Linked DNA regions of Mytilus edulis. The protein of the gene in region 4 binds, or shares a complex with, the protein of the main gene of each other region. Links are inferred from orthologs where the notes say so. Each region holds a gene or a part of one and is shown on either strand. Other genes may lie near its edges. The genes, in order: tectonic-like complex member MKS1, transmembrane protein 231-like, B9 domain-containing protein 1-like and centrosomal protein of 290 kDa-like.

Region 1 (7,168 bases), on a different chromosome or scaffold from region 4:
AAGTAAATAAAAGAACGAGTTAATAAAGCTAGGATACGATATTGGAAGGTATATACACGAAAAAGAATGAATTATACAACATGCGATGAAATATTACATATTTAAGAAACAATCCGAACACCGTTTATAAATAGCTTCGCCGAGAGCGCATGAACTTCCACTCTTATTCTGAATATTGAAATTGTTGTTATTGAATTAAATGGGACATTTTTTTTTTTGGTCAAAAATTTATTTGATATAACAATTATAGTGCATTATTGTTCAAGTAAATAAAAGAACGAGTTAATAAAGCTAGGATACGATATTGGATTAAATGGGACATTTTTTTTTTGGTCAAAAATTTATTTGATATAACAATTATAGTGCATTATTGTTCAAGTAAATAAAAGAACGAGTTAATAAAGCTAGGATACGATATTGGAAGGTATAAATCACGAAAAAGAATGAATTATACAACATGCGATGAAATATTACATATTCAAGAAACAATCCGAACACCGTTTATAAATAGCTTCGCCGAGAGCGCATGAACTTCCACTCTTATTCTGAATATTGAAATTGTTGTTATTGAATTAAATGGGACATACATTCAATGGTATCTGCTTTAATTGTGGCTTTTATGGTCATCATTGTAAAGACTGTCACACACTTTAGGATAAATCTGATGTATTTCAATTTGTAGACAAATTATCAAATCATAGTAAATCATTACTACTTCATAACAATTTCGATATACTTCTCAATTTATGTCCAAATTGTAATACATCAAAATGTATATGTACTCAAAAATGTATGTCTGTAGCTAAAAATTTTGAAAACAAAAGTTCAGAGAAAATTGTCATAAATCAAAAAATGGTATATGTGCTAATAGCCTCAGCTCAAAACCTAATTATAATAGAAACAAACATTATCAAAAAAACTGTCTTAATCTAAAATGTAAAGGTTTCAATGCTGTATGCCTTAATGTTCGACATATTCTATCTAAATTTGACGAGTTAAAAAATATGATTACTATAAACAACAAATATTTAGATGTATTTGGATTAGTTGAAACATTCTTAAAACCTGACATTAACAATGAACAATGTAAAGTGCCGGGATACAAAATTTTCAGAAAAGATCGCCAGTGTAAGGATGGTGGTGGCCTATTGGTTTACGTCAAAGATTCTATTGCAGTTAAAAATAGATCTGATTTATCAATTAATACATTAGAAACTTTATGGTTAGAGGTAGAATTTCCAAAATCTAAACCTTTCTTTATTTGTACTATTTATAGACCACCAAATTCCCCTCAGTCCTGGATAGATCTTTTTGAGGAAGAATTTAATGCAGTTCTTTCAGAAAACAAAGAGATAATTTTAATGGGGGACTTTAATATTGACTTGATAAAAATTGAGAATAAAAAATGGATCAATTTCATAAACAATTTTAATCTTCAACAACAAATTTGCACTGCAACACGTATTTGTGACAAATCTGAAACTCTAATTGATCATATTTACACTACTAATCCTGAAAATATTGTCCATTGTCATGTTCCGTCATATGCTTTAAGTGACCACTATCCTGTATGCTTAAATAGAAAAATCAATATAAAGATAAAAAAAGAAAGTCATATCGAAATAAAGTATAGGTGTTTCAAAAAATTTAATGAAGATGCCTTTTGTACAGACTTACATCAAACCCCTTTTGATATTGTTGAAATGGAAGATGATATTGATATTGCTGTCGACAAATGGTATGAACTTTTTAATCAAGTTATTAACAAACATGCACCAATGAAAACTAAAAGAGTAAAAACATTTAAACAAGCCAAATGGTTTAATGAAGAAATTAAAAATTCCATTCAATATAGGAATATGTATCATTCAAAAAAAGATTGGGTAAACTTTAAAAAGTGGCGTAATAAAACAACGTCGTTAATATTTAATGCAAAAAAGGAATATTACCAAAACGCCATAACTAGTTCCAAAAATAGTAAAGAACTTTGGAATCATATTAAAGAGTTAAATCCAAAAGAAGATAATATTTTCCCACCTAAAATGCAGTATGAAAATCAAACGGTTTATAACAACCAAGATATTGTAAATACTCTTAATGTTCATTTTTCATCCGTAGCTGAAAAACTTATTGGAAATAATACTTCAGATATGGATTTTTCTATGCTACAAAATTTTACTAGTGAAAAATTAAAGAAAACTGAAAATTTTCATTTAAAACTCATTTCCGTTGGAGAGGTGTGTTCTCAACTAAAACATCTTAATATTAATAAATCCGCAGGTTTAGATGGAATTGGTCCCAAATTTTTAAAGCTAAGTGCATAAATAATATCCCCATCATTAACTTTTTTAATAAACAAAAGTATAACTTCAAATCGTTTTCCGCAAAAATTAAAACTTGCAAGAGTAACTGCTATACATAAAGGAGGACCAAGAGATATTCCCTCAAACTATCGTCCAATTTCTATTTTGAATACCATATCTAAAATTTTCGAAAGACATGTATGTACACAGTTATATGAATTCCTAAACAATAATAAATTGTTACATATCGCCCAGTCAGGTTTCAGACAAGGTCATTCCTGCCAAACAGCGCTAACTAAACTAATTGACGAATGGTTAAAATATTTAGATAATGGAGAAATAGTTGGTACAGTGTTTTTAGATTTCAGTAAGGCTTTTGACCTTATTAACCATGCCATACTTTTAGAAAAGTTAAAATTTTATCATATCGGAAAACATATAATAGATTGGATAAAATCATATTTGTCTGACAGACAACAAGAAGTCCAATACGCTAACATTAAATCTGATAAATCGTTTGTAAAGTATGGAGTGCCTCAAGGTTCTATTTTAGGTCCGCTGTTATTTTTAATATATATAAATGATTTACCACTTCATGTTAAACAATCCAATATGGATTTATATGCTGATGATTCAACATTGCATTTTCATGATAAAAACATTGAAAAAATAAACAGCATATTGCAAAATGATTTAAATGCTATACAATCTTGGTGTAACAATAACAGTATGAAAATCAATGCACAAAAAACTAAGTGTATGAAATTGGGTTCAAAACCAAAACTTAAACAACTATCAGAATTATGCATTACCGTCAACGAAACATGTATTGAGAATGTCCATTCTTTCAAATTACTTGGAATTGACATTGATGAAAATTTAAGCTGGGAAGATCATGTTGATCGTGTATGTAAAATAATCTCTTCTAAAGTATCACTTTTATATAAAATTAAAGTATATTTGCCAATACACACAAGGCAACTATTTTATAATGCATATATTCTACCATATATAGACTATTGTAGTTCAGTTTGGGGAAATTTATCATTTTACACAAAGATTCAGATAGAATCATAAAACTTCAAAAAAGAGTAGCAAGAATTATACTGGAATGCGATATTTCTATTCCATCTAAATTCATGTTTTCTTCTTTAAAATGGCTATCTTTTACCAAAAGAATAAAATACCAACAATCAATTTTAATGTATAAAATTGTAAATGGGCTAACACCTGATTACTTAGCAATTCTAAATATTGATGATGTGCAACGCCACAACCTACGATCTGTCTCTAATAATGATCTTTTTGTTCCAAGGCCAAATACAAATTTTTATAAAAAATCTTTTCATTACTCTGCAACCAAAGTATGGAATAATTTACCACTCGAAATAAAAAAATGTCCTAATGTGGAATTATTCAAGAAACATAGTTATAATCATTTTCTTGAAAATTATATGCAAGTCAAATAATTTGTTTTTCTCTAACAAAACTATATCAAATATTGTCATTTATTACTCTTTGTATATTTTAGTGATTGAATTGTTGTATATACTAGTAATATATATTGTAATTTAATGTATCAATGTTAACTGTATGCATGTATTTTGTTTGAGGGCCTCAATGAAAATTAGAATTTTTCTAATTGAGTTACCCTCTTTAAATAAAGAATTTATTATTATTATTATTATTATTATTATTAAGGTACGATTTTGACATACTGTCGCCCCGAATCGTCGTCTCTTGTATAAACCGGAATTTCATAACAATACCAGACTTGTTTAAAATTTACATAATATAGTAAACAAATCAATAAAGCGTTTGATAACAGGGGAACTTTCATTCTTTTATTAAGAAACTATACAACATCGCAAATAGTTTACGGTCATGGCGGACTTGTACGAACCTGATTTTGGAGCTGCTTATTATAGATCAAAAGACCCTGTTAAGAATCTCAAATTCAAGTAAATAATTTTGCAATTGTATCAGAAAAACACAATGCTCAAATGAAACTAAAAAATTACGTTCTGCTAAAAGATCTGATGTCAAAATAACGTCAAAAATGACAAATTTTGAATTCATGAAAAACTAAGATTATTTCCAACTTGAACCAAGTATATTCCCTTAAAATTTATTGTGATTTACAATTTCTTTTAATTTAACTGTTTAACATCAAATAACATGCATAAGGTACTGTTATATGAGGCAGCCCTGTGAAAGGGTATGGGGTCTGCAAACCTTAAGAAATACATTATGATACCCATTATCAGAAGATTAATAATGATGATAAACATTTCTTGTAAGTAAATTCCAAGCATCATTCCTGCTTGAAAGTAACTGAATTACTGAAATGTACATGTATCTCATGTCAGTCAAATTTTTTGGAATTTTATATGTTCAATGTAAACAAGAAATTTTATCTATATGACAGGTAGTGTATTTTTCTCTCGTTTTAATCTCCTATAGTATACTTGGCGATTACAATACCAGGGCTTTCCATTGAAATTGAAGTAGAAGGCTCAATGAAAATTATAGGCTGCTGTAACATGCGTTCGGCGAAGCCGGACGCCCACCAAGCTGTAAGCTTGGTGCCTTACAAGTTACAGCAGGGAGTCTGGGAGGCCCCCAGACGCTCTGGCATAAATAGAGAAAAATCCTGCATTCTCAAAATCTCCTGGCACCTAATTTCATCTTTCAAATGACCATTTTTTATGTATGAAATTAAAGAAACTCTGAAAGAAAAAAAAATCTCAAAGAAATTTCATTTTTTTTATGTTTTAGTTTTTATTTTCATTACCTTTTGCTTAAAATTCATTTACTTTTAAAGGAGATTTATTTATATAATAATCTGGTTTGTTAAAAATCTTGATTGATTTATTTTGCATAACTACGTGCATTTGTAAACAAATGACCCCCCTATTCTCTCTAAAGACTGTTACGCGTATTTAAATCATACAATTATTTCTCAAGCGTTGACAGAAAATTGATTTATCCTCTGATTTTCTCTTTTTTTGTAAACTGTTCAATAAGTTGGATACATAAATCAGGCCTAAAATAAAATTTCATTTGTTTGGCATTGCCGCCCGACCCACTGAAAAACTTGCCGCCCAAATAACTTTATTTGCGTTTCAGAATTATTTTTTTTTTTATTTAAAAAAAATCGAAATTGTGCCGGCTTTACTTATTTCAAATCACGATCTTAAAAGCGCTTGTCTTACACTGTATTGGGAGCAAACATTTAAATGACATGGAATAGAAAAAGTCTGCCAAAAGTAATGTCAAAGAGGCCGGCAGGGGAAAGCATCTCCCTATGCTGCAATGCATTAGATGGATTTTATCAAAAATCAATTTTTCAGCTATTCTTTGAAAGAAACCTTCTGAGAGACCTTGTAGCGGACTCAAATTTTATCTTTGATTAAGCAGAAACAGATGATTTCTGCTTGACTTTGTCGCTTCATGAGATAGAAGTTTTTCACCGGAACATCACAGAACAAATATGTGTGGCTCTTACATTTGTTAAACTTATTAAATATTTGAAATTTATCATTGACAAATTTTCCCTTGAACCAGAGAACAAAGTATCTACTATAGTCAGAACCACTATGATGCATCTGAGACTACTATAACACATAGTGTTAATAGCTATATATATAGTAGTCTCAGGATGCATTCAAGATAATTATGGCTGTAAGCACCAAAGCTCAAAGACCAAAATGGTCCCAGATTTACAGGTTTATAGTAGTTTTGTACCAGTAGATGCTAGCCTGGTACAAAACATACATATTTTAAAGACTAGCATCTTGTGTCAATTGAAGTACTTCCCCCTTTTCTTGCCTTTCTTCTTAACATGAATAAGATAATTCTTAAAACATAAAAGATACTGACAGAAACATATGTATAAATGTATCTAGTGTACTAGTGATGAATAAAATCCCCTCCTTTTCCACAATTCTAAGGGCTCATTAATTTATCTGTATGCATGTAATGCATGTCCAGATTTCTGTTAATCAAACAAGCATAACAACCCATAATTTATTTATCTGCAAAAATTGTCTGTCCTGCTGCATATTTCCATTTTGAATTTATCATACGTTTTAAACTTAGCCCTGAAAAACCTTGCACTTGGATAATATTAGTATAAACACCAAGTCTATTTGTGCCAACCTTCCAAATTTTTAATATTTTGCTATCCTAATTTGGTACAGATCCTTTATCCTCAAAACTTATCAGGGGCAGTAGGCGTGTTTGTATGGTAGTTCGTCACACCTTACATGTATGATTACTAGCCTCTAGGTATTGGTTGAGCCCTAGTTGGGCAGTTGCAAAATTAAGGTTTGATTTTCATGTCATATGTGATAAGGTTAGTCAGTTTCCTCCTGTAGGTTGGCGTTTTCCTTCAAGTACTACGGTTTAGTACGCCACTAAAACTAACTGCCATGAAATTACCCATATGGTGTAGAAAGTGATGTTTATAAAACCAAAGCAAACAATCAAAGTTTTAAATCTTTGTCCATTTCTACAAGGAGCCGTAGTGGTAGAGCCATTTAACTTATGGTAATTTTACCAAACTGTGACCACAACTTCAAGATGTGACATCAGGCCTCTGTTCAATGGGCAGTCCCACAATTAAGTTCAATTTTCACGTCATACATTTTATATGGTTAATTTGTCAGTTTCCTGTCTCAGTTCTGTGTTTTTTTCTGGGTACTTTGGTTAACTTTGACAATAAAACTGACTGTCTTGCATGAAATTATCCATATGATGTACATTGTAGAATGTGACATTGACAGTTGACCCCTTTCAAAGAAACCACCAACATGTACACACAACAATGCTTTAGACAACATTGATCTAGAGACTTCATGATT
Region 2 (7,227 bases), on a different chromosome or scaffold from region 4:
TAAAAAAAACTTCAAAAGATTAAATTTAAATTATAATCTAAACATAAAAGAGCACATATAAATCAACCTTTTACTCAGATTTATATCTAAAACCAGTTATAACTAGCTATTATATCTTTGACTTCACAAATATCATCATCTAATTTTACAAATCAGTATTTATTTGGTGGCACTTCCTGCACACTAAGTATGTTATGCCTTAGGTTTAATTTTGATGCAATCACATTTCAGAAGGTACATGTCTTGTACTGTTTTAATGAATAAATTACAGTTTTAAACTCAGTTTAGGCTGACCTGAGGTCAATAGTCTTAAACAATGTCATCAAACTATCAGTTTTACTGTAATATATTGATATTGTGACATTTATGGGAAAGAGCGTATGAGTTAGTCAAATTGGTCAATACAATGGAAAGTTTATAGCTGAGACTACTATAACACTATGTGTTATACTAGTAGTCTCAGTTTATAACTATGTTAATGTTAATTATATACATGACATAATAATCAAATCATTTAAAAAATTATTCCAAAGATTTCTCTCAAATCATGTTTATATTTTTTTAGAGAAGAGTCTGTCTGAAATATATTCAGGGGTAGTCCAAATAATTATGACTTCTTAAAAAGCTATATTATGGGGAAAAAGGGGGGGGGGGGGGTCTATTATGTTTTTTTTCATACAGGAGGAAGACGTCAAAGCAACAAAAAAAACCAACAAAACAAAAGAAAATAATAGCCTGTCAAGACGTCCTTATATCATAATAATTTGGTCTAATTTTGGGATAATACATTTAACTTCCTTTGATGTCGGGGAGGGGATAAGTTTTGACGATTAATTATTCTTGAAACTAACAATAATTATTTCTTATTGTTACTTTGTTAAGCGAGCGCGATGTGTGGTTCTCGAGTTATTTAAAAAAAAGGGGGGGGGGTTGTTACTATATCAAATTTACCCAGTTTGGAGACAATAAATATTTAAAATCTAACCATAAACTCCAATGTTCCTGCTTTTTTTAGCAGAACAAACACGATGGCACTCGTCTCTGTTATAATCAATAGTTAACTCATTTCTTCTTCCAGGTTATTTCTTAATCAATTATGATTATCAGCTGTCTATCTATTTACCATGTTTATGTTAAACTGGTCCGTAATTCCATCGTAGTGTATCGATAAGTGAACACAACAGTGATCCAGTTTATTAAACGTCTGTAAACCGAGGTATATAATATACAAGGTTCCTGAGTCAGTAACCGTAACTATCCCCGTGCTTTGTACGCATGCGCAAGAAACACCAACAACAAGGATAAAACAGGGTACACAGTTCCGTAATTTCGTATATTTTTCTTATCTTCATACTAAAGAGCTCCAAAAGTAGGCGTGCTTAGGTGCACTGGGCGGGTCTAAAAACCGACTCTCGGTGGTTAACGTCTCTCGATGGTTAACTTTAAGTGCCTACCGACAAAAACTAAATTCCTTCATGGTTATATCTTGCCATACGTTTATATTGGTTTGAAAGGTGATTACTCAAAATCGTTATTTGAAAATCCTGTTTGTGAGATGTATATTCATTTCAATACAGAAATTTCGTCTATATATTTCACAAGTGTATAACACGGAGAAGCTCTGAAGGTCCATTACTCCCCTTTTGTTTGGGTGTGAACCATCGATGTTGACAGCAATATCAAAGAATAAGATGATGATGGTAGAAAGAACTATGGGCGTCATGTGGCAAATATTACATGCATATCGGACAATGAGTTGTCAATCTGTATGAAAAGATTTCCAATACAACCATATTATTGAGAAGGAATGTTTACATGCTATACTCTCGTACTAGTATTACAGGGTTCTTGTGGCGTTCACCTTAGACACACATCTTTTTAACGATGTTTAAAAAAAAGACAGAACCAATTTAATGTCATATTTCCCTATTTTTTTTTAAATATAACTAAAAGTCTTTCATCTGACAAGATTACCCCTATTTAGCGGACAAGTTATTTATTCTTTTTTCTGTTATTGAATACCAAGAAAAAAAATAAATCCCGAAATTAATTTGAAACTTTGATACTCAAAAGTTTCCCAGCAAAATATTCACATCTCTTCGGGATAATTAGTGTTCGTCCAGTGGCATATATAACAATTTTGATGACGAATTCCTTCCTTTGTTCGAGAACAATCTTATTGAAATATAAATCTGTGATTTTACTATGTCCACAACTTCAATGAACCAAAGCAAAAGTTATACATCGACCTGTATTTAAATCAAATTGGTTCTCTTCTTCTTCTGGTATACAATAGTCTATCGACATTCGATGATTACATACTGTTGGCATACGTGGACTAGTCTATTTACAACACTTTTACCCCTATTTATTCAAAATATATGTTTTTTTCTTATGTTCAATGTATACATGTATATATTTTAAATTGCGCTATAGTTCCGTAACTTTCTATCCAGTCGTATAAACGAATCGTCGGCAAGTGCGTACATTTTTTTAAATCAATATTTCTGGTATGTTCCAATCTGTCCTTCACTTTTGACAATGAGTATATATTACATTTTCCCAAATTCACCCTTGGAAAAATATTTAAATAGATTTTAATTTCATCAAATCTTATTTTTTGGGTATTATTTATATTTTTATGAATAATATTCTTTACACCAGAAATGTTATTTATAAACAAGCGTATGAGTTTGGTAATGACAAGTAAGACAGAGTTGTATATTATACATCTGATAGTTCAAAATGGAAAATTAAATGTTATCAGCCGTGTACACTGATCAATACCTGCAGAAGTGAAACGATGCGTGAACTTGCAAGCCCGACAGGAAATCGCTTAAATACCTGGACGTGTCACCTCACACCCCTCACAATACCTTTGGAAGTAATACCTTTAGCCATGCTGGTGATCAGAAGAGGGAAGATCAAAATTTATTTGAAAACAGTTTATTACTTTAAAGAATTATGAACAAATTAGATTTTCGAAAACAATTTTCACGGAACACTTTTTATTTATGATTTCAACTTTGACTTGTCACCTAATTCCAAGTTTTAAAAACAACAGACCATGGTTAGTTAGTCGGATAAAACAACCGTACGATTGACAAGATATCGACACGCAATTACGACTACATCGGTTACTGTAGTTTTGTTTCTTTGTGGTTTATAGACATATCGTTTCATTAATCGGGAAAGAAGGACAAAATGGCGGAACGCAGATAATTAATACTCTAAATTTAAAATCGATGGTGATCGCTTATCTAGCGGAATAAAACTTTAATATCTATGAATTTGAGCATTTTTATACAGAATGAACATAATATCAATTTTTGATTTTTTTGCGAAGTTTCATTTTGGCATGATAGTGTTTCTACAAAATTCCGCTTGTGTTTATCTGTCGCCGAGAAATAAAAAAATCAGGTGTGTCTATCCAAAGAATAGAAATATAAACACATATTTTTTAGAGTAAATGTCTAAAATTTCGACCCCTTAGTTTATCTCTTGAAGTTGTACATTGAGGTATACATATTTTTTTATTACAAATCTGAATTGCTAAGGTGAAAAATAGCTTGTATGGGATCGAAACTGTATCGTATGCCCTTAAAGCCCTCTTTTGTTTTACTTGCCGTTCAATATTATATTGTTTGTTTCACAATAAGTAAATGTTTTTGGCTTTGGTTGTTCTTTTCGGTCTTCATGACGGAGTAAGACGAGTAACAAAGTTGTTGTCGGCTGGTAGAGTCGACACCAGACCCTCAACCACCTTGTCATATACCTTGTCATGTATATCAGGATCAGACGGAGGCTGTGTCTTCTTTACTTTCTTCTATCAGTTAGCGTTCGTCAATTTCTAGCTGACGTCTCATGATGTTGGTTATGGAATCGATCCTGTTTCTGGTCTCTTGTAGTTCCTTATGATGAATCGTATGCCTTTAAAAAATAAGCTGCTTCTCGACTGACTACTAAACTAGACTTTGTTCAAGTGTAGCGTAAATTACAAGCGGATTCCAGTTTATCTGAAAAATAGGTTCACGTACTGCTTTACTTTTATTCACCCTGAGCTAAGTGGCGAAAGGGTCGATAAAAACAATTTATAAATAAAAATTCATCAATTTACTCATGATGCAAAAAATACCAGTAATCAATCATGATTATACACAGAAAATAATGCACATATTTTTTTTTATTAATAATTCATTTATGTTATATCTTATTCACGTCGTTCCTGCTTTGTTTGAAAATGGCGGTGTACGAAGTATTTTCTCATCCAGAACTTCGACGTTACAAAACCCATATCTGTTCAAAGGCATCTATAATTCTAGTTGTGGTGTTGTTTGTTACAGTAATCCCTCCACTTTTCGTTGTTTATAGGAGTTATGGTAAGTGCGATGTAAATTTTTTTTTAAAAACCAAGATTTTTCACCAGTCATATCAAGTTGAAGCACGTTGACAAAACAAATTTATACAGATTCATGTATATATTTGTAAATAAAAAAAAAATGTTGACCAGCTTTCCGTATTGAGAGCGGAAATGGCATCGGTGATAATTAGAAAACTGATGAAACAACAATTTTTTATTGATAATATAAAGAAATTCAGACATAAGGCCACACCAATTTAATTGCAGTGGAGTCCCCGGTGTCCGTGCGGCCCGTGTTATCGCGCATTAGCTGATTTCGTCATATCAACACAGTTACACATACAAAATCGTTCTTGTTAATGTTTTAGCCTTCCGAAGGGATAAAAAAGAATAAAATTGATAAGTTCAAGAATTAATTAATAACTAAAATCCTGTGATTTACCATATTTGGCCAATTTCCATTAAAAAAATTACATCATCAGATAAAATTGGTTTTATTTAATTCAAATTAATATTAGATTGAAATAATTTTTGCTCTGCATCCTTGGAAGTGTGTTTGGTACAAACTCAGCTATATTTCGTAGTGTAAAATCTTTCCTTTATTCCAAATAAGCTATTTTTGGAAGGCATGCGCGAAATCACCGGACATTGGAGGAACTCTCAGAACAGGGGTTTCCCTAATTTTGGACACACATTACACAAAATCTAGAGGATGAAACCATACAAACAGAAGATTTTATGAAATAAAAGTATATTATGAATGTGTTCACACAAAATTATCCAATTATTGGTTTTATCAGTTGAATGAAGTGAAGTCATAAGTCTTATGTGCGCGGATACACCGGACTGCACCGTGCTTGTTCTACAGATTTTTGGACTCCAAAATTTGGGGCGAGCGAGCGATTTGAAAATTTTAATGAAAAAATATTTAATTTGCAAATTTTTGAGGCGAAGCTTGAAAAGTAAAGGCGAGCGATTATAATTTTTTTTTGTAAACATAAAATAGTAGGTTTTGACAACATTAAAACTTGATTTATCACTTGTACTCTGACATTTCTTTAATTTCAGAAGTGTTTTTTTCCTTGTTTACCAAGAAATAATTAAATGTGGTCTATGTATGTAATAATAAATAATAAATAAGCTTTATTTAGAGTCGGCAAGGTATACAAACATACATGTAGACAAAATGTGTGACTGAAATGAGACAATTCTCCATCCAAGTCATAATCAGTTTGGGGGAAACCCCTTAATGTTATAAATATCCCTTTTACATGTTTTATGAGGGATCAATATAAGTTATTATATATTTGTTTGTACAAAAAGGCTCATATTTTCTCAAAGAACTATATATCTATCTGGTATTAAATGGTAAAAACATGTCCAGGAATTTTGTAATATTCCTGGACTTTAACCATGTTAAATTAACACATTTACTTTATTACAGTTTAATATTATTCAAAATAAGTGGACCCCTCTTTTAGAAAAAGTACAAAATTGTAAGTTTTCAAAGGTTTTGTATAGAAGAACTATACATATCCTTGGTATTTCTTTTCTTCATCAGTAAAACAGTAAAATGACCCCTTGTCTGAGGGAGGATTGTTCTCAACCTGATAATAACAAACACAGGTCAAAGTACGGCCTTTTTAACAGGGCTTTGATACAGACCAAACAGAGCTATAAAGGACCCCAAAATTATTAGCGTACACAATTCGAACAGGAAAGCCAACGATCTAATTTATCAAAAAGGGAAAATACCAATGAACACCATCAACAAACATGAAACGATAACTGCTGAACGACAGGCCCCTGAATCAATCAGGACAGGTGCATAAACATGCTGCGGCTATGGATAGTTTTGTTTCGCCAGCATACAATATAATTGCAGTTGAAGACAAATCCTTCAGAAGTTCTTCATACTTTATTCTAACAATGAACATTTTTTGATATGGAATATAAGTAAGGGGGAAAGAAACCAATTTTTTGTACTTTACAGATATTTCTGCTGTTAATTTATCAATTTATATCGGAGCTGAAACAAATATTCTCACAGATATTTACACAGTGAGGTGGGGTGCTTTTATGTTTAAAATCGTTATATACAGGTTAGACTGTGATTTTAAAAACAAATGTTGATATCTTTTTATAATATTTACAACAAAAACAGTGCGGGAAATGGACATGATTGCATTTCCAGATGCGGGAAGCGGGAATATAAAAGAAATAAAAAAATTCTGTTTTGAAAAAAATAGGTGCGGGCGGGTCTGTCGAACAAGGAATCAAATTGGTGTGGCCTAAAAGATTCATTTTCTAAGAAAAAAGGTTGAGGTATTGTCCTTTACAGTGTGTAGCAGATTATTTAATAAAAAGACAACTTTGTTATCCCTTCATGCTCCTCTGGTACTTGTGACCTACATGTACAATGAATTAGAGAACTTACATCATTCTAACTATCGGCAGCAAAATAAGTGTGTTACTTCATTTAAACGTGATAAAAGTTGCCTCCAGTAGATATTTACCGGTAATCCATTTATTGCTTTAAAAAAGTTTTATTCCTTTCCAAATAGCTCGTCAAACATCTTTTATTTTTGTAAATTTTCTTTCATTCATCCGTTATTGACCGTTTACTAACTACGGTCAATGTTACTTCATTTAATCATGATAAAAGTTGCCTCCAGTAAATATTTAATCCATTTATTGCATTAAAAAAGTCATATTCTTTCCAAATAGCTTGTCAAATATCCTTTATTTTTGTAAATTTTCTTTCATTCGTCCGCCATTGACCGTTTACTTACTACGGATCGGAACCAGACCAGCTATGACCAAAATCCGTGCTTTTACAATAATAACTACAGACGCATGCAGTGTTC
Region 3 (7,399 bases), on a different chromosome or scaffold from region 4:
TGTATCATAAATTTTAGTATTCAGCTTTCCATTAGTGATATAGATATCAAGATCGAGAAAAGGGCAGTGGTCATTGTTAGTAATAAGCCAATCTTTTCCCCATTGTATGGCTGCTTCTAGGTCTTCCTGCAGCTTAAGACAGTTTTTTAAAGTTTTAATTTGTCAATAGATTATATTGTCATCTGCGAAGAGTCTGATTTTGCTATGTTGGATGTAATCTGGGAGGTCATTTATGTTTATTAAGAAAAGTATTGGTCCTAGCACTGTACCCTGTGGGACACCTGATGAGGTATTTTTGAAGATGACATGTTTTCTAAAAGTACTGTTTGGGTTCTGTTTGAAAGAAAGTATTCAACCCAGTTAATGATTTGATCTAATATTCTAAAGTATTTCATTTTGTATAGTAATCTTTTGTCAGTGGTACCTTGTCGAAAGCTTTAGCAACATCCATGATTATGAGATCTGTTTGTATGTTCTTGTCATTGTTTTGGAATAGTTCATGAATCAGTGAGATAACTTGGGTCTCACATGATCGTTTTGCCCTAAATCGGATCCATGTTGTAATTCATACAGAGTGTTGTTTGTTTTTAGATGATTCATCCAAATGCTGCTTGCAAAGATATGTTCGAGTAATTTGCAAACTATGCATGTTAAGGATATAGGCCTATAGTTGCTTGGGTTGTATAATATTTATCCCTTTTTTTAAATACACTGTTAAGTTTTACATTTAGTTAGGAAAGTTTTTAATTTATTTTAGGTCCCGCGCGCTAGGTTGTGGCGTCACGTGAAGAGGCTTTATAATAGTGAAAATTTAGTTTATTTCTTTCTGTTTACATCTGTTAGGTGGAGACCGACAACATGTATATAACGAGGGAATACACACGATGTATTTCTTTTGTCATTGTAGGAAATTGACGTTTCGATCACAGTTCACGAGCAGTGCATGCTTTGGATTTAATTTATCCTGTGTAACTTTAAAACACGATTATTGATTATTTTCTTACAATATACATTTCTCAAAAGCAGCTTGTAACACAGATTTTATTATAATACAGGAGCAGACATTTTATTGTAGGATTTCATTGAGATTAACGGACCAACAAGCGATTTTTACGGCATTGCAATTTCTCAGTTTTCTCTACGGAAATTCTTGCCGGGGATCGAGGTAGCTGCAACATGTTGTTTTGTGAAGTTTTAATACATGTATGCCGTTTTACAATATAAATCAATTGCTTTAAAAAAAAAAAACAATTGTAAACGGTCTCCCCCCCCTTTTTTTACCTAAGAAACATGATTGATTGATTAATGTGTGTTTCTTTCTTTCTTTCTTTCTTTCTGCAAGGGGTTCATATTATTGTGTTATCCATGCCAAGAAATCCTAGCTAAAAATTTCGGTGGACCTCCTACGGCACCCATTAGTAGATACAGATTTAATTTCATTCAACAAATTAATTTATGACCTTTATGTACTCGCTAAGAACACGGCCATATACCAAATGGTCAATATTAATCATCCATGTAATTTGCTCTATGGGATATTTGCAGAATTTCAACGGTGTCAATTTCTTGGCATGGGTGTGACAGTTTCATGGTTCCAGTCAGATGGTACTTTGCCTGTTTGTAGTGAATCTGATCTTGTAAATATTAAAGTGAGGATATCTACATATTCCGATGTTTTGTTTAAGTACTTTGACTGCGATGGTATCAGGACCGGTAGCTTTAGTCGGGTTTATGTTTTTAATTAGTTTTAATTTTATACTGCACTCGTTCTATTTGAGCAGTCAAAATGCGTTGACTGTATATTTCTATGCCATATACGGTCACTGACCTGATATCACTTTTCCTCATGAATATTTAAAAATAGAAATTGTCGAAATTGTATTTAATTATTCATACGACCTCTTCAACCTGTTCTTGTTTCCAATGTAAACAACGATGCGTTTAACGAATCAAACTTGTTTCTTTTGCAATTTTTGGGAAAACATATTTCACTTATTAATATTTTTTTGTTTGGAACCTATAAATCATTATGTTTTATGTTTATTGATGATATTTTAGTCTGCAACGAATTCGTTCATCATTGATTGCGGTAATGATCGATGTACATTTCATCGTGTTTTTATATTTCTCCATCTGTGTGATATGAGGCCTTTTTAAAGGGGGATTTTTCCCAATATTTAAATCAAATAAATAACATTAACACAATAAACAACAATTGAAAATGTTTTTTTTAGATTGCAGTATAAAGACAATAATGGTGCATTGACTTGACATATCAACGATATATAAGGATTCGGCCCAAAACGGGGAAAATGCTCGGCAGAGCCTCGCATTTCCCCGTTTCTAAGCCTCATCCTTATATCATTGATATGTCAAGTCAATGCACTATTATTGTCTATGTAAACACCATCCCTAGATATTTTAATGGGTATCATTATGGGGTATTTACTAGGACTTTTGTCTGGAATGTTACTTAGTGTTTGCTTCAGATGTAAATGCAGACTGAAACTGTTTTCGTATTTCTGGCTTTTGATGTAAGAGTACAGTTTTTAAGGTGTATTTTTGAAGCATGGTTGATATGGCTCCTTTATTTCAATATCGAAAATCATATTTTCTATGTATTGCCAGTATGAGTTTCTCATTTCTTTCTGGAGCTTGGTTTTAATTTTTTGGTATTGTTTTTTTTTTATAAGTTGTGATTTTTCTTTTTCTTTTTATATAGTTTCTTTTTCTTTTAAATGAGCTTTTTAAGTTGGTTATTTACCGGCCAAGGTAGTTTTGATTTGTTACCAATGCTTTTTGTTAGAATATGCTTGGTAATAGATTTTTGGATGTTTTTTTTTTTAACGTGTTCCATACCGAGTGGTTCCAAAGTTCATCGAGATTTTAATTAATTATCTTGATCTTGTTTTAGTTGTTTGTATGTTTCAGTGAGATCTTTTTCTATTTGCTCCCAATTTGCCTTTTAATTTGTAGTGTAGTACTTTATGAGCCTGTTGCTTATTTTGCGGCAGAGTTAAGTTTATTTCTATGTAAACAATGTCATGATCACTTGCTCCGATTGGTGGTAATGTTTCGATTCTATTAACAAATGATGGATTGGTCATACACAAAAGGTCTAGGGCTGTGTCGTTTCTGGTGTTCTTGTTTAGGACCTGTGCTCGGGGGGGCCACTTCAAACTTTTTTTGGTAGGGGTGAGCAGCTGAGACATCAAGTACCCCACCCTTTTCATATATTTTGTTAATCAAAAATATATACCTTGTCATATATATTAATTAACAAAAAACAGACCTATAGATATATTTCAATATTTTCCAATATTTTCCCCGCTCATCATCTTGTAAATAGTCGCAATAATATCACCTTCTTTTCCAAAAAATTCGTCACATCTTAAACACTTTTTTCTTATTGCCGTTTTACATCTTTCATTATAAAGATATTTCAATTCCAAATTACAATACATATAAAAGACGTTTGGTCAGATCATAGATGGTATTACATCTGTGGTCAGATAAATGTAATATCACCCCAGAGCATGCAGAGTGTAACACCTTCACTGATTTTAACATGCTAAAATATTAATTTAAAACTGATAAAAAGTTTCATTGCCTTTCCCTCTTAAAGGACGCTGTCACAATGGAATTTATTTAAATAATTGTTATCATGTTTTATGTATACAAACCCTTGAATGTTAATTAGGTGCAAATGTCAAAATAGTTGGATTTATTGCATCTATCACTGGCATCAGTGGAAATACCACATCAGAATAAATAGATTTTAATTGGTTTGACAAATAACTGATGCATTTACGACTGTGGTTTAACCGCATCAAAAATAAATACGGACATCTGATTAGTTTCAGATACTTATGATATAATCAAGCAAGTGATAATATCAACCTATTGATATATTTCATCTGAATTTCTCACCCTTTTCATATATCGTAGAGCATGAAAAAGTGACCTATTCCAGCGGCTCATCCCTACCACTAATTATATAGCAAGTGGCCCCCCCGAGGACCTGTGTTATTAAAGTGTTATTAAAGTTGTTGTCATTCAATATCTAAACTCTAGTTAGAATAATTGAATAATTTATTTTGAACATTTTAAAAATGTTCAAAATAAATTATATTTTACATGCAAGAATTATCAGTTTATAAATTAGATTAGGAAAGACACCTTATGGCAAAAAGAAAAACCCTGGGTTGAAATGTAAACATGATATCAAAATAATATTGTATTAGTTATACAACTTTTATCATACTAGATGTATATTCTAATTTCTTCCAGTTGGCCGATTTTGTTTAAAGCTCGATTTTGTAATAGTCCGAGTTTTTAATGGGCCGAGAATGCCGGATATCAACCGCTCGGAATACCTTGATACCCGCTCGGAATACCTTTTGTAGTATCGTACAGTATTATTTTGTCTGTCAACATAGAAGTGATCTGCACAAACTGAGACTACACAAACAAAACAAAAATGACAGCAAATTCAGTATTTCTTGTAATGGTTGGTGGACAAATTGAGTCCGGAGAGGTAAAATTTGGAAGAAAACCATTATAATCTTCTAAACACTTTCCATAAAACCTGAAAAAAATAAAACAAATTCTCAAAACAAGCCTGTTCATGTTAAGAAAAAGTCAGCATATCAAACAAAACATTATAGGAGAAATCTGTGGTTTAATTGAAGCATACATTTGTATTAAAACCGATAATCTGTACAGTACCTGACCAAAAGTATTTGTCACAGGCATTTTGTTTGCTATATATTTAAAAGAAAACACATTTAAAAAAAAATATTTATAGGGCATTTATCAGGTCAGGAATAACCACCAATTGGTGGATTATACCTCAATTGACGTATAATCCACCAATTGGTGGTTATAGGAATAACCTGTTTATGATTGGATTTTGATCAACAAGGCCTTAAAAGACGTAGAATATTGTCTAAAGAATGTTTGTTTATTTGGTTATACTTTTATCTTCAGCGTTCAGGTGTTTTTGTTTTCTCTCGATGTGAACACAAACAATATTTTTTTGTAATTTAATTTGGTTGAATATAGCGAATTTCTGAACAAAAAAATATTTGTGTTTATCTTGTGAAAAAATGAAAATGATCCTCAAAAAAAATATAACCAAATAAACAAATAAATCTGTAACAATTCTGCTTCTATTGGTTATTATTTACAAGTTATTTTAGTTCTTTCAAAGTTTCATATCTTTGATTTTACTGCCATGCCAGAGTGCCAGCAAAAATAGTTTAATAATAATTTAACATGTTAGCCTTGGGTCTGTTCACTCTGAGTTCGTTCGCCCATAGAGTCCATAGGCGGATCCTGCCCCCCCCCCCTTTTTCATGCGAAAAATTTGGTTGATTATATAGGGAATCATTGAAGCATGACTGGGGCATACCCCCCTTAGGTCAGTCAGCGGGCCCCCCTTAGGAAAAGTTCTGGATCCGCCACTGGAGTCTGTTCACCCTACTAAAAAAATATTAATATTCAGGGCATTGAAGTTGAATAAACTTTTATTCAAATATTTCTATGGTATATATTTTCTTGAAATTTATGGAAACATGGAAATATTTAAAAGTTTATGGCTTGTTTAGGATCATTAATTGTTCAATGACAAAATAATTCAGATCACTGATTATTGTGATACTTGTCTTTTGATGGATTAATAATAAAAACAAACGTTTTGTTTTGATAAAATATTCAGCTTGTAATTAATAATTTTAAGCCATAATGTCATGAATGTACGAGCTGTAACATTGTAAATGATGAAACAGATTTACAAGTTCTTTTATTTATACTCTGAGACTAGTCTCAGTTATGCTGTATACATTCATGATTGACCATGTTGACTGAATACAATTATTTTGTTAACAAATATCAATAAAGATAAATACATTGTATTCCAGTATTCTACTCTGCAAATCAAAGGGAAAATGATAAATTGATTGCGGCAATACAAATATTCTGTCAATTTTTCAACAAACTTCAACATATTTTGTTCAAATACTTTAAATTATGTGACTAGACAACAATTAGAAAAACATAAAAATCAGTGCGAATGAACCCTGTGCGAACAGGTATCAGGGCAAAAGGGTATCAGGGCGAACAGGTACATGTACTAGGGCGAATGGACCTGGATTCTAATCAGATGGCAATATCAAAAGTTCAAACACATCAAAAGAATGAATATAATATATTCCATTGATTGATTGCCTAGATATCTATCAGAGCTAGTACTCAAGTTCATTGTATCTCTCAGTAAAGCCAATAAGTATTCAATAAATAAACTGTAATTTTTCACTGAGTAGCTATAGACATACCTACACATGTATTATAGTATAAATATAAACCTATATAAGTACGACGGCTTGGTGAAAAATTGTGCACATCCTGCTACAAGCATGAAATTTGGCATAGACCTTCCTCATCTATTACTCTTTTATTTCAGATAGAGAGGCAATTGAAAAAAATATCGCACTTCTGGTAAAATCTAAAATGGCGGACTTCATACTTAAATCAGCCCAATATCGAAGGCTAGTATGTGAAAAGGTGTTTTAATCATGCTACTATCATAATATTTGGTACAAACCTTTGTTTTTTACTACTTTTAGATACATTATATAGATTAGATGTCTTGAAAAACCCTACTTACGGTAATATCTAATATGGCGGACATTGTACTTAAATAAGCTTATTTTTTAGGGAGTTGAATATTTAAATAATGAATTGATATTTCTATGTCCGCCATTTTGAATATTACTGGAAGTAGGGGGTTTTAAAGACAGATTTTTTATACATTGTATCCATTAGAAGCACCAAAGAAAGGTTCCTGCATAATGTAATGATAGTAGCAATACGTTTAAACACATTTCAATTACCCTCCCTAAAAAATAAGCTTATTTTAGTACAATGTCCGCCATGTTGGAATTTACTGGAAGTAGGATTTTTGCAGACATCTAAACAATATAATATATCCAAAAAGTAGTACAAAACAAAGATTTGTAATATTATGATTGTAGCATGATAATAACACCTTTTCAAATACTAGCCTTTGATATTGGGCTGATTTAGTTTAAACATATTTATTTATAGTGGATTGGGAAACAAGTTTTGCAACTTATATTAATCCCTTTCCACTTTGCGGGTGCGAGTGCTGCCTTGTAGCGGCATTAGCCTGCTCTTTTTCGAAATCTACAAGGGTGTCTTTAACGTGCAAGAGATTGGGCTGATTTAAGTATGAAGTCTGCCATTTTGGATTTTACCAGAAGTGAGACAATTTTTTTCAAATGCCTCCCTATCTGAAATAAAAGAGTAATAGTTGAGGAAGGTCTATGCCAAATTTCATGCTTGTAGCAGAATGTGCACAATTCGTCTGAAATATGCT
Region 4 (6,981 bases):
ACACATGTAAGTTCTTCAACATATTTTTAGGTTTTGGTATTCAAATATATTGGCCTGTCTTGCTCCACAATAGATACATTGTAGAAATGTGCATCCGTCCCAATAAAATTGGTACCTTTAAATGTGATTACCCAGATCTTTCTTTAAATATTGTTGTTTCCTCATTATTGAAATCTAAACCTCATAGATTTTTGAGGTGCTGAAATTTGATTGTTCCCCATCTATTAGACTATTTTGATACTCTTGATATCTTAATCACTCAGTTTTCAGCTTCTTCCTAATAGTTCTTATATCAAGTTTATACTAAAAAAGATATACTTGAAGTGATATTGATCTAGAACATATTGTTATAATGGTCTAACTGTTTTAACACTGTAAGTTTGAACCCATCTTTATAGAACATGATAGAACCAAACCTCTTAGCTTATCACAGTAAATGTTATATAACATTTTTACTTTTATTATAAGAGGTTGTTCTTTGGTCAGTTTTGTTTCTGTTAACAAACTCTTGGTCAGCAATAACAACAGCACAAGCAGGAATTCAAACTCCATTTTCCTGCAACAATACAAATATGTAAAATATAAATAAGTGACTCAATGTGGCTTGTGTAGGTTCATATTATGTCAGGTGTGAGTAAAATGTGTAGAATGTTGAGATATAAAGTATAAACACATAAATTAGAATACATAAAGCCTAGAACAAACTGCCAGATAGAAATTAACAAAACACCCTCTATAAAATTATATATAATGCCTTTCAAAATTGTCAAGTTCAATATTGGTCTAATGAAGAGATAAATTATAAGAGCAGAAATATCTGGGAGTCACAGACAAAACTGTAAGCAAAATAATTCAAATCAGAGTCTGGTGAAGAGAACCTGTCACCAAGAGCCAATGCACGTCGAGTTTAAGGGGGACTATCGAACATGCACAGCCCAAGGCACAGTGGGTCAGTCTTTCGCAAGACTTAAGCAATAGCAGGCAAAACTATAAAGCAAGCAGCAAGTTGTAACAATTTTATATAGTAACTGGTCCAAATAATAATAATGATGCCGAAACAATTTACGAATAAATAAAGTTCAAATGTTCCAAATAATAAAGTCACTAATTTCACTAATCCAATTCACAGTTTAAAGTTAAAGTCCAAAATGTTCCAAATATATAAAGTTGATGTTGTCTGGTTGAACGATTACAGTTGTTTTGAGCTGTCTTTTGAGTTAGCGTTTCTCCTGAGTAGCTGAGCCTGGTTGGCTTTGGAAGCACTCCTATCTGAATAACACCGACGAGACTACACTGACGAACAACTGTTCGACTCCGATATTTAAGGCGAATCCTGAAAACTACTCATAAAATGACAGACATTGATAATTTTGATAATTGAGATAATTTGAGTATTAATAATATTGTTTACAATGTCCAAAGGTGAAATATGAATAATGTCAATTAGAGAGATACAAGTTCATTACATTTATAATCCTAATTAAAACATAATATAGCTCAGATTAATTAATGACAATTGACAAGATACCAAAGTGTTGCTCAGAGCAATTATTTACAAGTGACATGTTTCACAAAATTTACCTGATTAATTAAATTCAAATTTGTAATAAAATATTTCATAATTTCATATTTTCTAAAATAATATATTTTCTCAATAAAATTCATTTTAAAAACTTTTACCTAAAAGAACACCTATGACAGATCATTAGGGATTCTATACTAGAAAATCATACTGTCTAACAATTATGTGTGAACACCTCCCCTAGTCCTAGCTTACAGTCATTATTGCTAATAACAAATACAATATTTGTTTATTTTCGGAATGTAAAACATTAAAGACCCATTGTTGGCCTTCGGCTGTTGTCTGCTCTATGGTCGGGTTGTTGTCGCTTTGACATATTCCCAATTTCCTTTCTCAATTTTATTTTATATGCATAAATTTTAATTCAAATGTGTGAGAAAGGAGATGCTGTCCAAGTTTTCTACATTTTCGCAGCGAGAACAAAGTTTTCTACATTTTCGTAGCAAGAAATAATACATGATATATTTTCCTAAAATGTACAAACTAGTGATTTAGCATACAATCTATAATTTACTAATTTACGCTTGAAAGCATGCACCTTTATTTTACAGATGTTTCTTTTTCAGAAAATCCACAATATTTCAACCATGGGGAAGGCAAAGTTATTTATAAAACAACAATTATCGTAAAAATAAATTTAGCTGTTTGCTTTCAATAAAAGCAGGATACAGGATATATATGTGTATACTATTTTGTATCTATAAAGTAAACTGCAGATACAAGTCCTCCTTCAAGCAACTGAAGAAAAAAAAACCACACATTTGCTTCAGCTGACAAGGCACGGTTAGGTTTAGATTAATAAAGTCATGAACACTTGCTTTCTGACTGCTTGGTTTTATATAAGTTGAAATAAGTGATAAACCAAGCAGTCGGAAAGCAAGTGTCTATGACTTTCTTAATCTTATTTACACCTAACCCTGCTTTGTCAGCTTAAGCAAATGTGTGGGTGTTTTTTCAGTTGCTTAAATGAGGACTTGAAATATTTCGTCCAGCATGTACTTTTATGGTTTGTATAAAAAACTGTTAACGTGATAATACAATTACGTTTCATACGTCTATACTTTCATCGCACTTAAGAGTATGGAGCATCGGCCTTTAGTGCAGCCACAATCACCCTTTAGCGGGACCATCATACTTTAGCGCCCCCATCACACTTTAAGATAAAGGATACTACAGATACAGTTAAGTCAGCTTCATATCTTGACTTACATCTAGAAATTGACAATGAGGGTCGGTTGAAAACAAAACTTTACGACAAAAGAGATGATTTCAGCTTTCCAATTGTGAACTTTCCATTTCTAAGTAGCAACATTCCAGCAGCACCTGCATACAGGGTATATATCTCCCAATTGATACGATATTCCCGTGCTTGCATTTCCTATCATGATTTTCTTGATAGAGGGTTACTGCTCACAAGGAAGCTATTAAAACAAGAGTTCCAAATAGTGAAGTTGAAATCATCCCTTCGTAAATTTTACGGACGCCATCACGAGTTGGTTGACCGTTATGGAATAACCGTTTCACAAATGATATCGGATACGTTCCTTACGTCGTAACTACAATTCCCTTCCCTTTCATGAATATGACCTACCGAATTAGACTATTTACCAGATTTGTAATCACATAAGCAACACGACGGGTGCCATATGTGGAGCAGGATCTGCTTACCCTTCCGGAGCACCTGAGATCACCCCTAGTTTTTGGTGGGGTTCGTGTTGTTTATTCTTTAGTTTTCTATGTTGTGTCATGTGTACTATTGTTTTTCTGTTTGTCTTTTTCATTTTTAGCCATGGCGTTGTCAGTTTGTTTTAGATTTATGAGTTTGACTGTCCCTTTGGTATCTTTCGTCCCTCTTTTAAGAGTCCTACAAACATTATTGTAGCTATTTGATTGGTTATTTTGTGGATTAAATCATTATGAAATCAAAAAAGGGTTGGTTTAAGTTAGGCTACTATTTTCAGTTTCAGCAAAACAGAAAGAGGACCAATCTAAGAAATTAGTTAGCCATCACTAACAGGCAACTACAATCTACTTGCTAAGTAGAGGGTAACTTTCTGCGTCTTTTCTACATTCATACAATGAACTCTGTTTTACACTATGATTTTTGTGACTAAGCTTAAAAAGGTTAGATAGTTAAGCTTATTTTAGCATTTTTTAAAACTCGTGCCATTACTCACTCAAATCAAACATTTTTTTCCAAAACGAATTAAATAGCTCATATTAAAATTGATTAAACATAAACGTTGTTAGTACTCAATGAAGTGATAAAATTCTATTCTATCATATTTGACAATTTATGGTAAGATAAAGAATATAAAAAAAATCAATATAGTTTGACAACTTTCTAAATTCGTTTTGTTATTTTGCAAATTGCTCGCGACGAATACTACAGCCTTACCAATTTACTCGACACTAACTATGTTTACATAAAAAATGGCGGACATTCTTCAAACTTCAAAATGTCATAGTTAAAAGTTGCCTAGCGAGTTTCAAGTGTAGCTGATTCCATAATACTGGACGCAATTAAAACCTTTTTAAAGTTTTCTTAAACTGAACACTAAACAAAAGGTATTTGCATCACACAGAATGATGTGTAAATTGGTTTTGTAACAGCAGCAAGATCAAACTTGTTTATTTTAATAATGACGTGATTTACTTTACATTGTTTACTACTGTTGAATACATCTTTATGGTCAATTGAAATAAAACCACATGTACCTTCAGTAAACTGAACACTCCCATAAAAGTACAGTTACCCTTTAAAGACAAAAAAACCTAATAAATTTCCACTTATAAAAGTTATACAGTGGAGTCCACGGTGTCTGTACGGCCCGTAATATCGAGCATTAGCTGATTATGTCACCAGGGATCTCCATGGCTTGTTTAACGATGGTGCCCCACCATTGTTCAAATGTCTTCTGCCATCGTTCAAAACTTCATCGTTTTTTGTAGCCCAACGCCATTTTTTTTATCAATTAAAATCAAATGCATGTAATTGCATAACCCTTAGGCTTTTTATGTTATAATCCAATACAGTTCTAACGCCTCAGGGATATCCGGATTAAGATCGCTAATCACTTGTACCTGAGCTTGTACAGGTAGATCAACAAACCAGACAGGAGAATACTATCTGAGGATAGACGATCCATTTGTCGAATTAATCAACTCAGTTTCAGCAAATGATTATAATAATTTAGAGTAAATAAATAAATAATCCAGTTACAAAGAAAACAGTTTAACAAGTCGAACACATGCTTTATTTTGACTTACGCAATCAGCATCCCCCTTTTTTAAGAAGTACAAAATAAGACGCAAAACAGTAAATATTATTTCATCGCAAATAACTTGAGTACTGCTGTAACGATAATTAAGAATTACTTTAAAAGTTTAAAAGTAAAAACTTAAATTTTTACTGTAAAGAAATATCGTATCGTAATTCCGAATTCATTTCGTATATTACAATCAAATTGATACATTCGTGTTTCCGGTTTCTATTCAGACTCTAAAGATGCATGTTGCACAGCATCAATTTGTCAGATAAAGTCATTAAAAACCTTTTCATTTGTCAACGTTTGCTTTACAAATCTCTTTAACCTTTTACATAACCCGTACGAATCGTTTGTTGTTGCTTCAAATCAGCCATACTGGTAATGGGTTCTTAATTTGAGAGTGTCCATGAAAAATAAGCTCCACATCATATGATTTTAACCCCCATAACAATTACCAAAAATACAAGAAATCTACATGGGGACCTTCATAACAGCTTTTGTCATTCTCAACTAAGAAGGGACCATGAAGACTTGGCATTTAAATGGTTAAAAACGACAATAAATGAAAATATTGATACTTCTAATTCTATAATGAAAATTCAAATAAATATAATTTAAACAAGCAATGAATTAGCATGTTCACCATTCCTTGTATGGAGGGATAAAATACTTCCGATTGCGCTACACTGTACAGCGTAGACACGGTTTGTAATGGTGAAAGTTCCTCCATCATTCAATTTTCATCCATGGAGATCCCTGTACACAAATTAAAATCGTTCTTGTAATTGTTTTAGCCTTTCGAAGGGATGAAAAAGAATAAAATTGATAAGTTCAAGTTAATTAATAAAGTTCTGCAATCCCGTGATTTGCTATATTTGACCAATTTCCATTAAAAAAAACATCATCAGATAAAATTTGTTTTATTTAAGTCATTAAGTCAAACTAATGTCAGATTGAAATAATCTTTGCTCTGCATCCTTGGCAGTGTATTTGGTTCAAACTCAGCTATATTTCGTAGTATAAAATCTTTCCTTTATTTAAAATAAGCTATTTTTGGAAGGCATGCACGAAATCACCGGTTATTGGAGAAACTCTCAGTGCAGGGGTTTCCCTAATTTTGGACACACATTACACAAAATCGACAGGATTAAACTATACAAACAAAGATTTTATGAAATAAAAGAATGTTATGAATTTGTTCACACAATATTATCCAATTATTGGTTTGATCAGTTGAATGAAGTAAAGTCATAAGTCTTAAGTGCGCGGATACATTTGGCCCAGCTGCATTGTACATGTAACTGTTATAAGGGAGTCTGATCCCGGATCCTGCTTATTGTTTAATGAGAATCCTGCTTCTCGTTGCCATATTAGCACATGTTATTTCCCATGTCACGACAGACCGTGTGCTCCTTCTTTGGAGGATTATAAACAGTTTAAGTAGAGGATGTAAATATGATCAACAATCAAAAAATGAGGGCAGTCAATGCCAAATCTGAATTTGCTATTTATTTCATGGAAAACAAGTTATGGTTTTCAACTTTCTGTCATAACGTTTTCTCCATGAAACTAAGTACTGTAAACATTGCAAATTGTGCCCAAGTTGTCATATGCACATTTCTTCACAGATAATTGCTGACTGACCGATTCTATTTGAATGAATTAATGTTGATGATCATTAATGTCCTATCCGATAAACGGATTACCTCTAATCTTCTAATTCTATAATGAAAATTCAAATAAATATAATTTAAACAAGCAATGAATTAGCATGTTCACCATTCCTTGTATGGAGGGATAAAATACTTCCGATTGCGCTACACTGTACAGCGTAGACACGGTTTGTAATGGTGAAAGTTCCTCCATCATTCAATTTTCATCCATGGAGATCCCTGTACACAAATTAAAATCGTTCTTGTAATTGTTTTAGCCTTTCGAAGGGATGAAAAAGAATAAAATTGATAAGTTCAAGTTAATTAATAAAGTTCTGCAATCCCGTGATTTGCTATATTTGACCAATTTCCATTAAAAAAAACATCATCAGATAAAATTTGTTTTATTTAAGTCATTAAGTCAAACTAATGTCAGATTGAAATAATCTTTGCTCTGCATCCTTGGCAGTGTATTTGG

What was found.
Region 1: centrosomal protein of 290 kDa-like (region 4) and tectonic-like complex member MKS1 share a complex: the UniProt entries of both Homo sapiens proteins name them as parts of the tectonic-like complex. The link is inferred for Mytilus edulis from reciprocal best matches to the Homo sapiens genes CEP290 and MKS1.
Region 2: centrosomal protein of 290 kDa-like (region 4) and transmembrane protein 231-like share a complex: the UniProt entries of both Homo sapiens proteins name them as parts of the tectonic-like complex. The link is inferred for Mytilus edulis from reciprocal best matches to the Homo sapiens genes CEP290 and TMEM231.
Region 3: centrosomal protein of 290 kDa-like (region 4) and B9 domain-containing protein 1-like share a complex: the UniProt entries of both Homo sapiens proteins name them as parts of the tectonic-like complex. The link is inferred for Mytilus edulis from reciprocal best matches to the Homo sapiens genes CEP290 and B9D1.

What each region holds. Positions count from the first base shown.
Region 1 is NC_092349.1:45,661,475-45,668,642, forward strand, and holds the start of tectonic-like complex member MKS1, read left to right. Parts: upstream 1-4,144; 5' UTR 4,145-4,187; coding exon 4,188-4,264; intron 4,265-7,168. UniProt on the Homo sapiens protein: Component of the tectonic-like complex, a complex localized at the transition zone of primary cilia and acting as a barrier that prevents diffusion of transmembrane proteins between the cilia and plasma membranes.
Region 2 is NC_092348.1:50,345,123-50,352,349, forward strand, and holds the start of transmembrane protein 231-like, read left to right. Parts: upstream 1-4,218; 5' UTR 4,219-4,240; coding exon 4,241-4,379; intron 4,380-7,227. UniProt on the Homo sapiens protein: Transmembrane component of the tectonic-like complex, a complex localized at the transition zone of primary cilia and acting as a barrier that prevents diffusion of transmembrane proteins between the cilia and plasma membranes.
Region 3 is NC_092352.1:63,763,112-63,770,510, forward strand, and holds the start of B9 domain-containing protein 1-like, read left to right. Parts: upstream 1-4,380; 5' UTR 4,381-4,480; coding exon 4,481-4,537; intron 4,538-7,399. UniProt on the Homo sapiens protein: Component of the tectonic-like complex, a complex localized at the transition zone of primary cilia and acting as a barrier that prevents diffusion of transmembrane proteins between the cilia and plasma membranes.
Region 4 is NC_092353.1:4,363,339-4,370,319, reverse strand, and holds the start of centrosomal protein of 290 kDa-like, read left to right. Parts: upstream 1-3,968; 5' UTR 3,969-4,150; intron 4,151-6,981. Other genes in the region: uncharacterized protein, read right to left, coding at 457-552. UniProt on the Homo sapiens protein: Involved in early and late steps in cilia formation. Its association with CCP110 is required for inhibition of primary cilia formation by CCP110.